Caenorhabditis elegans: one gene and its partner. The protein of the gene in region 1 purifies or fractionates together with the protein of each later gene. This does not show direct contact. Each region holds a gene or a part of one and is shown on either strand. Other genes may lie near its edges. The genes, in order: F53F4.15 and set-27.

Region 1 (2,932 bases):
ATGTTTATGCTGTATCTGAAATTAAGAAAATGAAGCGTGTCGGGGAATATGTATTATGGTGTACATAAAATAGCAGACATGGGGTCCAAAATAAGTGCACAGTCCACGTGACAAATAAGCCATTGTAAATCCAGCCGGAATATGCCGCATTTGAATGAAAAGATCTGTGAAACAGGCGAGGAAATCGGTCAATGCAAAGTTTATGAGAATTGTGGTGTAAGCGGCGATTGTCTGGAAATGGAAACTGATGTTTGAAGGTTGAAATTGCTTGTCTATGTGATGAGGAATTTCTGCAGAACATTTCCAGCTATCCCACACCTAGTTATAATGGCAGAGTTCTGTAGAAAGCTGAGCCTATATTACGAGATTTGCACAGTTTTTACCAAACTGGGAACTAAAGCTCTCAAATTTTGATTTTAATCTATATTTTATGATTAGTTCAAAGATTTTTCACGAAAAACTAACCTTCGGAGTCCGAAAAAGTGCCAAAAAGAGCACAATTGAATTGAGAATGCAGCCAGAAACTCCGGCAAACGTATGGAAAGAAAGGAAGAATAATGTGATAGAGTCCAGCATTTTTCAAGTTTTTCTGAAAGTGAAAAAAAAAATGGTAAAAGCTCTCTCTTAAATATAAATTTTTCAATAGAAAGAAAATCTTTATTTTAAGGCTTCACTGGAACGATGACTGTGAAGATTATGGTTACAGAATGATTATATTGTTCTAAGGAATGCTAAGAATTTTGCAAAATAAATAATTTTTTGGGAACTAGATTTTCCGTAATCCGTAAAAAAGTAAACAATTATCATATCTATTCACTCGACTTTTCGAAAAAGGAAGGAAAACACATCATGTGCACGTAAGATATCTCTATTTATGCTTCCTCGTGATGGCTCTCAGAGCTGTTAATTGCTTCATTCAGTAGAAAGCGTCTGGCGTACCTGAGAATATATGTACTGTTTGAATTACTCATAGTCTGGGATATATCTGTGTCGTTTCGTATTATATCAATAGTCTAGAACATTAAGTTAACTTGATGTTCTAGACAATTGTCAAAAAAAATTTACAGATCATCAAAATAGCGACGCCTTAATCATATTAAATCTATTACATAGATGTCTGAAGATGATAATTTTTGCCATATCTTACGCGCTTGGGTCTCGCCACGCTGACTACTGACTACTGTAACTCGTGCTGATTTATGACTGATCATGTTTTTATTTAAAAATTTTAGAAGCAATGTTTCATTTGAAACGAAAATTATAATGCATTATTACAGTAACTCGTTGTCAGCGTGGCGAGACCGTGCGCATAAGTATTTAAGATGTGGCGAAAATTCTTATCTTTAGATGTCTAGAATGCGTATTGCGCAAAATATTTCGCGCTACAGTAGTAATTTAAATATTTTCTGTAGTTTTCGCTACGAGATATATTGCGCGTCAGATATGTTGCACAACACGCATTCTCAGAAAGTAGTGATCTCGTAATAATACATTTGGTTAAGGCGATGTCCACGAATTACAAAATTTTATGAGAAAAATATAGGCAAGTTTTAAGAATTCATTCTTGTTCTCTTTCAGAGGTAAATAACGATTGGCTTTTACGCTGAGAAATTGGAAGTGAAACGGTAGAAGTTAAATCCAACCTACAACCTAATGCATCGTTATTCAAAAATTATGTTGTTATTTGGAAAACCTGATAAATCTGAACTATTTATATTTTTAAAGTTAATTTTCAATTAACTTTATTACATACAAAAATGCATTGCGAATCCAGTTCGCCCATATTTTTCAATCTGTCGAGATCACTGAGATATCACCAAAAAATCGTGTTTTCTTGAAGTTTTTCACCTAATCGTCTTTTCCATATTTCTCTTTCCCATTGTATGATTATCAATAATGTTTTCTCTTCATCTCTCTATTCTTTGCTTCACTCTCCTGATTGGTTATTCTATTGAAATGCCACCTGGTCGAATGTGCCTTCCGGAAAGAGTCAATTTTCGTAAAGTCTGGCCATGTGAACATGATAAAACTGCTGCCGAGATTTGTAGGTTTCACGGAGAAGTTGTAGAATTTAATATTACTTTTTGAAGTAGAAGAACGGGAAGATCGTGAAGCAAATCTTCGTGGAGCTCCGTCTGCATTTGCTCGGACAGGATTCTATGATCGTCTATTTCTTCAACAAAATCTTCCAACTGTCTATGATGATAATATTCCATATTATCCTAATTATGGCTACAATCCCAACAAGCCAGTCTGGGGATTGTATCGTTATTCTAACTATTTCATCAATCCATAATTAAATAATTTTAATGAATGAATAAATTTAAAATGATAACAAACAACGACTAAAAACTAAAAGAAAAAAACGAAAAGGGCCTATGGGGGAAAACTCAAAACCAATGATAATGGCGGAAAAATACTCGTATTTGACAAAAATTCGGAGAATGATGAGGAATTGCACATCGATAGATCTAGTTTTTGACGATTGCCGGATGTAGAATCTCGTCACGAAGTGATTTTCCGCCAAGAACCTAAATATATTTCATTAACTGCAACTAATTAGATTTAATTTTACCTGTGCTCTGTCTGGAATATAACTTTTGTAGTTGATCGCCACATATGTAGGATATGTGAGTGCACATACAGTATAATAAGCTCGTAGCAAGGTCATTCGAGCAGGCCGTTCCAGGTGATACCAGGGTAAACTCATCTGGAATAAAAGTCATGAAGTCAAGAAAAATTAGTTCTTTTATGGGTAGAATGAAAGATTCAACTCAATTTTTCAAAATTTAGAAAATCACCGAAAATCACAAAAATTGGTAAAATTGATAATTTTTCAACAAAAAAGTGAATTTCTATGTAGTTTTATTCATGTTTCGTTGACGTTTTTTTAAGTTCGAAATTAATGAGATTTTTTAATTTCTTCTCGAAA
Region 2 (8,208 bases), on another chromosome or scaffold:
TAATCTCAAAAAACAAAAAGTAATACGGGCGATTTACTCAGCAGTAAACAAAGTAAATAAATAAAAAATTGTTGGTTTTCCGGGAAATGCAACTGCGCTCCATTGCTACGCGCGAGAGAGTGGAGACGGCAGAGACAATGGAGTTTTTTGCAGAATTTTAATTATTTTAAGCTTAAATTCATAAATTCAGCTGTTTTTTCTTAAATTTTTATTTCAAAATAAGAGGAGTAATATAAAAAAAAGCAATATTTCACAACTGACCGCCCGTGTTCCGCTGTTGATAAGTGTCCGTTGATAAGAATCCGATTAGAAATCTAGAGATTGACACGCTTACCGTATTTTTTGGCCATTTTTGAATGTTTTGCGCTGATTTTAGCATTTATTAATGCGATTTGTTATGTTTTTCTGTTCAAAAAAATGATTTTCCTCTTGAAAATTGGCGTTTTGTCGCAAAAAATGGGGAAAAAAGCTCCCATAGTCCTTCGTAAAGAACAATAGGCTTCCTTATGTGTCATTCACTGTCCGTTCTAGTCAATATTACGAAAAAATGGCAAAATTTGAGAAAAAGCTAAAAAAAAAACCCCCAAAAAACTGCCTTTTTCATCAAAAATTTGCAGAATTTTCTCACTTTTGGCTAGAATTCTTGAATTTTCTCCATTTTTGCTATTTCTTCTCGTTTTTCACATTTAAATCGCCAATTTTAAATCTTAACTGAGAAAAAAATTGGTAAAAACGGTGAAAACTGAAATATTTTTGGTTTTTGAACCATAGGTGTCAAATTTCAGGTAAAAATCCGAAAAATGCTCAAAAATTACCATTAAACCCCCCCCCCCCCCCCCCCCCCAATAAGCCCCGCCCACATAATGGCTTCAATTTTTTTTTGAATTTTTCACCAACTTTTTAGCTAAAAATTTAGTGGAAAAAACCTGAAAAAAAAAACCTCAAAATTTACAATTTTCATTAAAAATTTCATGTTTCCGGTGATAAAAATTTTCACAATAATTTTCAAACCCCGCCCATATAATGCCTTTAATTTTAATTTTTTTTTTTGAATTTTTCACCAACTTTTTAGCTAGAAATTCACTGGCAAAACCCTTAAAAAAACCCTCAAAATTTACCATTTTCATTAAAAATTTCATGTTTCCGGTGATAAAAATTTTCACTAATATTCAAACCCCGCCCATATAATGGCTTTAATTTTAATTTTTTTTTTTGAATTTTTCACCAACTTTTTAGCTAGAAATTCACTGGCAAAACCCTTAAAAAAACCCTCAAAATTTACCATTTTCATTAAAGATTTCATGTTTCCGGTGATAAAAATTCTCAAATAAGCCCCGCCCATATAATGGTTTAATTATTTTTTTCCACTTTTTTAAAGCTAATATTCAGCTTCTAACTGGTAAAAACCTGAAAAAAACCTCAAAATTTACAATTTTCATCAAAAATTTCAAGTTTCTGGAAATAAAAATTATCGACGAAGCCCCGCCCATATAATGGCTTTAATTTAAAAAAAAACTTCCACTTTTTAGCTAGAAATTCACTGGAAAAAACCCTTCAAAAACAGTTCATAAAATATGATTTTCATTAAAAATTTCATGTTTCCGGTGATAAAAATTTTCACAATAATTTTCAAACCCCGCCCATATAATGGCTTTAAATTTTTTTAAAATTAAAAAAAAAATTTTTTTGAATTTTTCACCAACTTTTTAGCTAGAAATTCACTGGCAAAACCCTTAAAAAACCCTCAAAATTTATAATTTTCATGAAAATTTTCATGTTTCCGGTGATAAAAATTCTCAACCTAGCCCCGCCCCTTTAATGGCTTCACTTAAGCTTCTGCCTGACAAAATCAATGTACCTTCCAAACCTTCCAAACCCGCCGAACTTTCCGGCACAAGTGCGTTGGCGGGGCTTGCTGGTGGCCGCTGTGTAATATGTGGCTCAATGAGCACACACAGCAAGCAGGCTCTGTGTCGCCTGCTGTTGGTCACTTTTCACTCGTTCTTCCACCTTTTGTTCGCAATTTTTCCCCCAAATTTTACGTTATTCGATCGAAATTTTGAGTAAAAAATTGAAATTTTAATCAAAAAATTCCAGTAATGGCGCCATCTCCAACTGCAGAACTTGAGGATCAAATTCTGGGAAGTTAGTGGATTTTTTTTTCGTAAAAAATTAAGGCAGGCATACCTACGTGCCTGCCTACCGCCTACGATCAAAAAAAAAACGATGAAAATTCCAGAAATCGCAACACTTTTCGAAGAAACTCTGAGTAAGCAGCCACCGTCGAATATTGTCGAACTATGGAAGGAACACGTTGAAATTCGGCGGATTCTTAATGATGTTATCAGTATTCAGGCAAAACTTGGTGATACTGATGAGCGATTAGCTAATTCTAAGTGAGAAATTGGAGAAAATCGGAAAAAAAACCCCCCGGGAAATGTGAACATTTCGTCTTAAATTACTTCTAATTTGGAAAAAAAAATTGATGGGAAAGCCATTGAATGGGCGGAGCTTAACTGTTTTCAGATCATTTTTAAGATGAAACAGATGCAAAAATATATCAAAAATTAAATTTTTTTTGAATTTTTTTAACTACTAAAAATTGCAAAAAACACCAATAAATTTGAAGAAAAACCTTCTAAAAATTTCTTTACAAATATCAAAAAATACTAAAAAATTTAAAAATAATGATAAAGAAATGCAAAAAAAAAAAATTTCAAAGAATTTCAAAGAATATCAAAAAAGTTTTTTTTTTTTTTTTTTTTTTTTAATTTTTAAATTTTTTTTTTATAATTTTTTTTTAGTGAAAAAATGCCAATTTAGGCCCCGCCCACATATTGGCTTAGTTTTTAAAAATGGAAAAAAATTTTTCAAAAAATACTTTAAAATTTCAAATTTTTTTAACCTTAAAAATTCTTTAAAAAAATCCTAAAAATTGCACAAATTGCAAAAAATCCTAAAAATAAAAAAAAATTCTTTTAAATTCTTTTAAAAGTTCAATAAATTGCAAAAACAAAACCTTTAACATTCAAAAAAAAATTGCAAAAAAATCTAAAAATTGCAAAAAATCCTACAAATAAAAAAAACCTTCAAAATTCTTTTAAAAATTCAAAAAATTGCAAAAAATTCTAAAATTTTCAACAAAAAATCCTTTAAAATTCTAAAAAAAAATTGCAAAAAAAAAATAGAAAAAATGCAAAAAAAATTCTAAAATATTTTTAAAAATTACAAAAAAATCCAAAATTTCAGACGAGACGCGGATTCAATAAAAACATTTCTTGCGTGGGCGGATGGAGTTGGAATTGCTCGAAATAATGTGACAATTGGAAGTACAAAAACTGCTGGGCTGTCACTTCAGGCAACTGGGTACATTTTTCCATACATATATAATCAAAAAAATTTTTTTCGATATTTCGAAAATCGAAAAATCGAAACAAAAAATTCAATTTTTAATCAACTTTTGTTGATAATAAAATTAGAAAAAATATACTTGTTTTTTCTAAAAATTAGAAAATTGACCACTATTTAAATTTTGAAATTTTGGTAATTTCTCCTATTGTTAGAAAAAAAAATCATACGTTTTCTAGAGTTTTTCCCGTAATTTTTGATAATTTTAGAAATATTTTTACTTAATTTTTCGATTTTCCCTCTTTTTTTAATCGAAAAATGTTTCGTTTTTACTTTTTTCTGGAAAAATCTAATTTTTTAAAGGATTAATCTCATTTTAATCCTTTTTTATATTCCATGAAAGAAACCGAAAAATCAAAATTTTAAATCGAAAAAATTTAGTTTTTCAAATTTTCGGTTTTCTCTGAAATTTTTTTTTTCAAAATTTGAAAAAAAAAATTTGCTTTAAGTTTTCGCCATTTTTCTTCTTTTTAGAAGACATTTTTTCATGTTTCCTTATGTTTTTTCTCATCAATATTACGGGTACACAATATTCAAAGAATGCGTATTGTACAACATATTTGACGCGCGAAATATGACTATATCTCGTAGCGAAAACTACAGTAATCCTTAAAATGATTACTGTAGCTCTTGTGTCGATTTACGGGCTCTGTGGCATTTGATTTTTATTCTATTTTCCTTCGTTTTTTGTATTACTTTCTCATTTTTAGCTTAATTTTATTATTTCATCGATATATAAATGATTTTAATTAATTTCAAAAATCGAGCCCGTAAACCGACACAAGCGATGTCTAGCTACAGTATTCATTTAAAGAATTACTGTAGTTTTCGCTACGAGATATAGTTATATTTTTTGCGCGTCAAATATATTGCACAATACGCATTCTCGGAATTTAGTGTTCCCGTAATATGAACAACATTAGATTAAAAATCGAATTTTATCGTAATTTTCTGAAAAATTTTTGCTTCGGTTTCAAAAAAATTGAAAAATCTTAAAATAATTTTTCTAAAATAAATTGCAAAGAAACCAAAATTTCCAATTCCAGACCAGGGGTGTGCGGCAAATCTCAAAATTTGCCGAGCTCGGCAAATTCGGCAAATTTGCCGTGCTTAACAAACTCGGAAAATTTGATACTTTTTGATGTTTTTTGGAGCACCAAAACTACTGAAATCTTAACACTCATCTGGTTTCTGAATAAGTTCCGTGTAGTATGTCTGCTTAAGCATCAAAATAACGCAATTTTGTGTCATTTTACTAAATTTTTGGCGAAAAAATCAATGGTTTTAGTCAAATTTTTGACGTGTGCGGCAAATTTCGAAATTTGCCGCACACCCCTGATTCCAGACCAATTCCAAAAAGTCATATAGTCGCTCGTGTTTCCTCATTTTTTTTTCTTATCACTATAACCAAAATTCGGTTAAAAACAGAAGTTTATGGTGATTTTCTGATTTTTTTTTGATTTTTTGGTTTTTGAGGTTAAAAAAATCGAAAAATTTTTAAACCGTAAAAAAGTGAAAAATAATTTTAAAAAAATACTTTTTTTTAATTACGAAGAGTTGCAATTTTTCCTTAAAAAAAAGGAAAGAAAAAAGAAATTTAAAAATTGTTTTTTTTTTCTGAAAAACATTATGAAAACCTTTTGATTTTTTATCTAAAATTAAATTAAATTTACACCGTTTTCATCAAAGAATTTTTTCACATTTCAGACCAATTCCAAAAAGTCATATAGTCGCCCGTGTCCCCCGCCACGCAATGATCACTCTGGACCTCGCAAAAAAATCTTCACTTCTGAAAAAAGCCTTCGAAAAAGATCCGATAGTCGGTGGAATGGATAATGTCGGTCTCGCACTGTTCCTCGCATGTCAATGGATTCAAAATGAGAAATCAAAATGGAAATCATACATTTCAATTCTTCCAACAACATTTCCCACACCACTTTTCTACTCGGAAGAGCAACTTCTCCAGTTGAAGCCATCACCGATATTCGAAGAAGCTATCCTGTTCTATAGAACAATTTCTCGGCAGTTCTGCTATTTTTTGTTGGCCATCGCGAAGAACAAGATCTACGAAGCGGCACAGAGACGAAAAGATGCACGGAATGCGATGGAAACTCCGATTTTCTATAATGTTCCGTTTAACGTCGCGAATTTCACGCCGAAGCTGTATTTCTGGGCGGTTGGAGTTGTGACGACAAGAGTTAATATGGTTCCAAGTGAAAATCAAGTTGGAGAAGATGGAAATCCGGTTATTGTAAGGGAATATTGATTTTTAAAAAGTACTAAATTTTTTAAATTGGACATTTTCAAAATAAATTAAAAAATCTTTGAAAAATCTCGATTTTTTTCATTTTTCTGAAAAAATTGACACAAAAAGTTCCGAAAATTTTAATAAACAATTTTTTTTTTTGGGTTTAATCTGAAAATTCCCTCATTTTTTGCTTTTTTAAAATACATTTTCATCAAAATTTTGATCCTTTTGATGAAAATGTGAAAATTTTCGTAATTTTCCAATTTTTTTTCAGAAAAAATTCAAATTTTCGTAATTTTCTAACTTTTTTCACAAACATTCCAAATTTTCGTACTTTTTTGTTTAAAAAATCCTTAAATTTTGGCGATTTTCTTTAATTTTTTCGTAAAAATTCACTTTTTCGAATATTTAGGCCAGAAAAAATTGAAAAATGAAATAAACAAATATAATTTAATTTTAACTAGAAAAAACCGAAAAAAAAAACTGATTGATTTTTATTAGGAAATCAATTAATTTCTATAATTATGAAGAATGATAAAATTTCTTTTTTTTTTCAGTTTTCAAAAAAAACATTTTCGCAGAAATTCTTGCTTTTACGACTTTTCTTCAGAAAAATTGATACTTTTTGTATTTTTTACCGTTAAAATAACGAAAAAAAATTGCAAAAAAAACTCCAAAATCTCTAAATCAATTTTTTTTTTCGTTATTTCTGTTTTTTTCTTTACAAAAATTAAAGTTTATTTGATAAGTCAATAATTTCGATGCTATTTTTCTCAAAATTGTTTCAAAATTTAAAAGTTAGAAAGAAAATTCAAATTTTTTTTTTCAAAATTAAAAAAAATTCGATTTTCGAAAAAAAATCTAATAAAAAGTGTTTTTTTTTCAGATTCCAGCATTAATCCCAGTGCTAGATATGGCGAATCACGAAAATGTGCTCACAGATGTGCTCACTGAGCCAATTGAAGATCTTGTATGCTATTCACCAGAAGAAGAATGTGCAGTTATAACAAGTCATTGTGATGTAAAAGCTGGAAATGAAGTTACAATATTTTATGGATGCCGTAGTAAAGGAGAACATTTACTTCATAATGGATTCGTACCAATTTATCACGGAAAATTCGACGTTTTAAAGCTGAAAATTGGAATTCCGAAGACTGATAAGACGTTGGATGCGAAGAAAAAATTGATTCAGAAATTTGTGAAAAAAGTCTATTGTGCTGGAAATATTTTCCATGTTGATCTTTATAATGTGAGTTTTGTACCGATTTTCGGAACGGCGGTCGAAAAATTAAAATATAAAATTTTTTTTTTTTTTTTCAGTGTAAAAATATGCGAATTTCTCTAAAAATCCGCTTTTGTTAATTGAAAATTCAAGAATTTTAGAGAAATTTGAATTTTTTATAGTAGAAATTGAAAAAGTTAGATTTGAAAAAAATTCGAACTTTAAATATAAGAAAATTTGTATATAAAAAACCAATTTTTAAAATAAAATAAAATTTTGAGCTGCAAAATTCCAGAAATTAGTTACTTTTTAATTGAAAATTTATCAATTTTCAATTTTTAGTTAGAAATTTTGATATTTTTTGAATTTTTCTAGTTGAATTGGAAAGAAATTTATAAAAATTTAAAAATTTCCCGATTAAAAAAGTTATTATTTGTGCTAAAAAATAAAATATTTAAAATCAGAATTTCAGATGGAAAATTTTATTTTTGGTGAAAAATCCACTTTTTCGAATATTTAGGCCTAAAAAATTGTAAAATTAAATTAACAAATGTGTGTGTGTTTTTTTTTTAATTTTTTTAATCTTCAAATTTGTAAAAATTTGATTTTTAAAAAATCGTCTTTTTTTGAATTTTTTAGTATTGAAAAAAGCAAAAAAAAAAAATTTTTTTTGAGTTTTTACATTTTTTCTAGCCTAAATATTTGACAAAGTGGATTTTTTTAACGGAAAAATTGAAGAATCTAACGAAATTTGAGGAACTTTTTGAAAATAATTTTTTGATAATTTTTAAATTTTTAGCAAAAAAATCAGGATATTTTCAAATTAAATTCAAAGTTTTACTTTTAAACAAGTAAAATTTTCGGAATTAAAAAAAAAATACTTTTTTGAAAAATCTAATAATGTTTACTTTTCGTCAAATTTTTGAATTTCAATATTTCAAATTGAAATACTATTTTTTTCCAAAATTTTTACATCAACAATAAATAATTCTAAACCTGAAAAAAATCTCAATGAAATTAGAATTTTCCAAAAGATTACTGTAGTTTGACTTACAGTACCACGAACAACCATTCCCACTGGATCTTCTAATGTTCGCAGCGATTTTCGTCTCCACAACACCCACCGAAGAAGCCGTTTCAGCACCGGAAAACCGTAAAAAAGGATTGGAATTTTTGAAAACTCGCTTTTCACTGCTCAAAAGATCTTATGAATCGTCATTTGATGCATCAAAACTCAAAGAAATTGGAATTGATGGAGATTCGGCTCGCCTAAAGTCTGCGGAGCTCGATATTCTACAATTGGCTCTGAATTACTGTGAAACGCTGGAAA

The links.
Region 2: the proteins of F53F4.15 (region 1) and set-27 fractionate together in Caenorhabditis elegans (co-fractionation; one large-scale study listed by BioGRID). This does not show direct contact.

The regions. Positions count from the first base shown.
Region 1 is NC_003283.11:13,619,111-13,622,042, forward strand, and holds F53F4.15 (Neuropeptide-Like Protein), read left to right. Parts: upstream 1-1,865; 5' UTR 1,866-1,896; coding exon 1,897-2,044; intron 2,045-2,090; coding exon 2,091-2,296; 3' UTR 2,297-2,366; downstream 2,367-2,932. Other genes in the region: srd-11 (G-protein coupled receptors family 1 profile domain-containing protein), read right to left, coding at 1-15, 65-231, 466-576; F53F4.16 (uncharacterized protein), read right to left, coding at 2,472-2,531, 2,576-2,710.
Region 2 is NC_003281.10:2,698,842-2,707,049, forward strand, and holds the start of set-27 (protein-histidine N-methyltransferase), read left to right. Parts: upstream 1-2,095; 5' UTR 2,096-2,099; coding exon 2,100-2,145; intron 2,146-2,239; coding exon 2,240-2,396; intron 2,397-3,249; coding exon 3,250-3,366; intron 3,367-5,115; coding exon 5,116-5,659; intron 5,660-6,542; coding exon 6,543-6,905; intron 6,906-7,934; coding exon 7,935-8,208.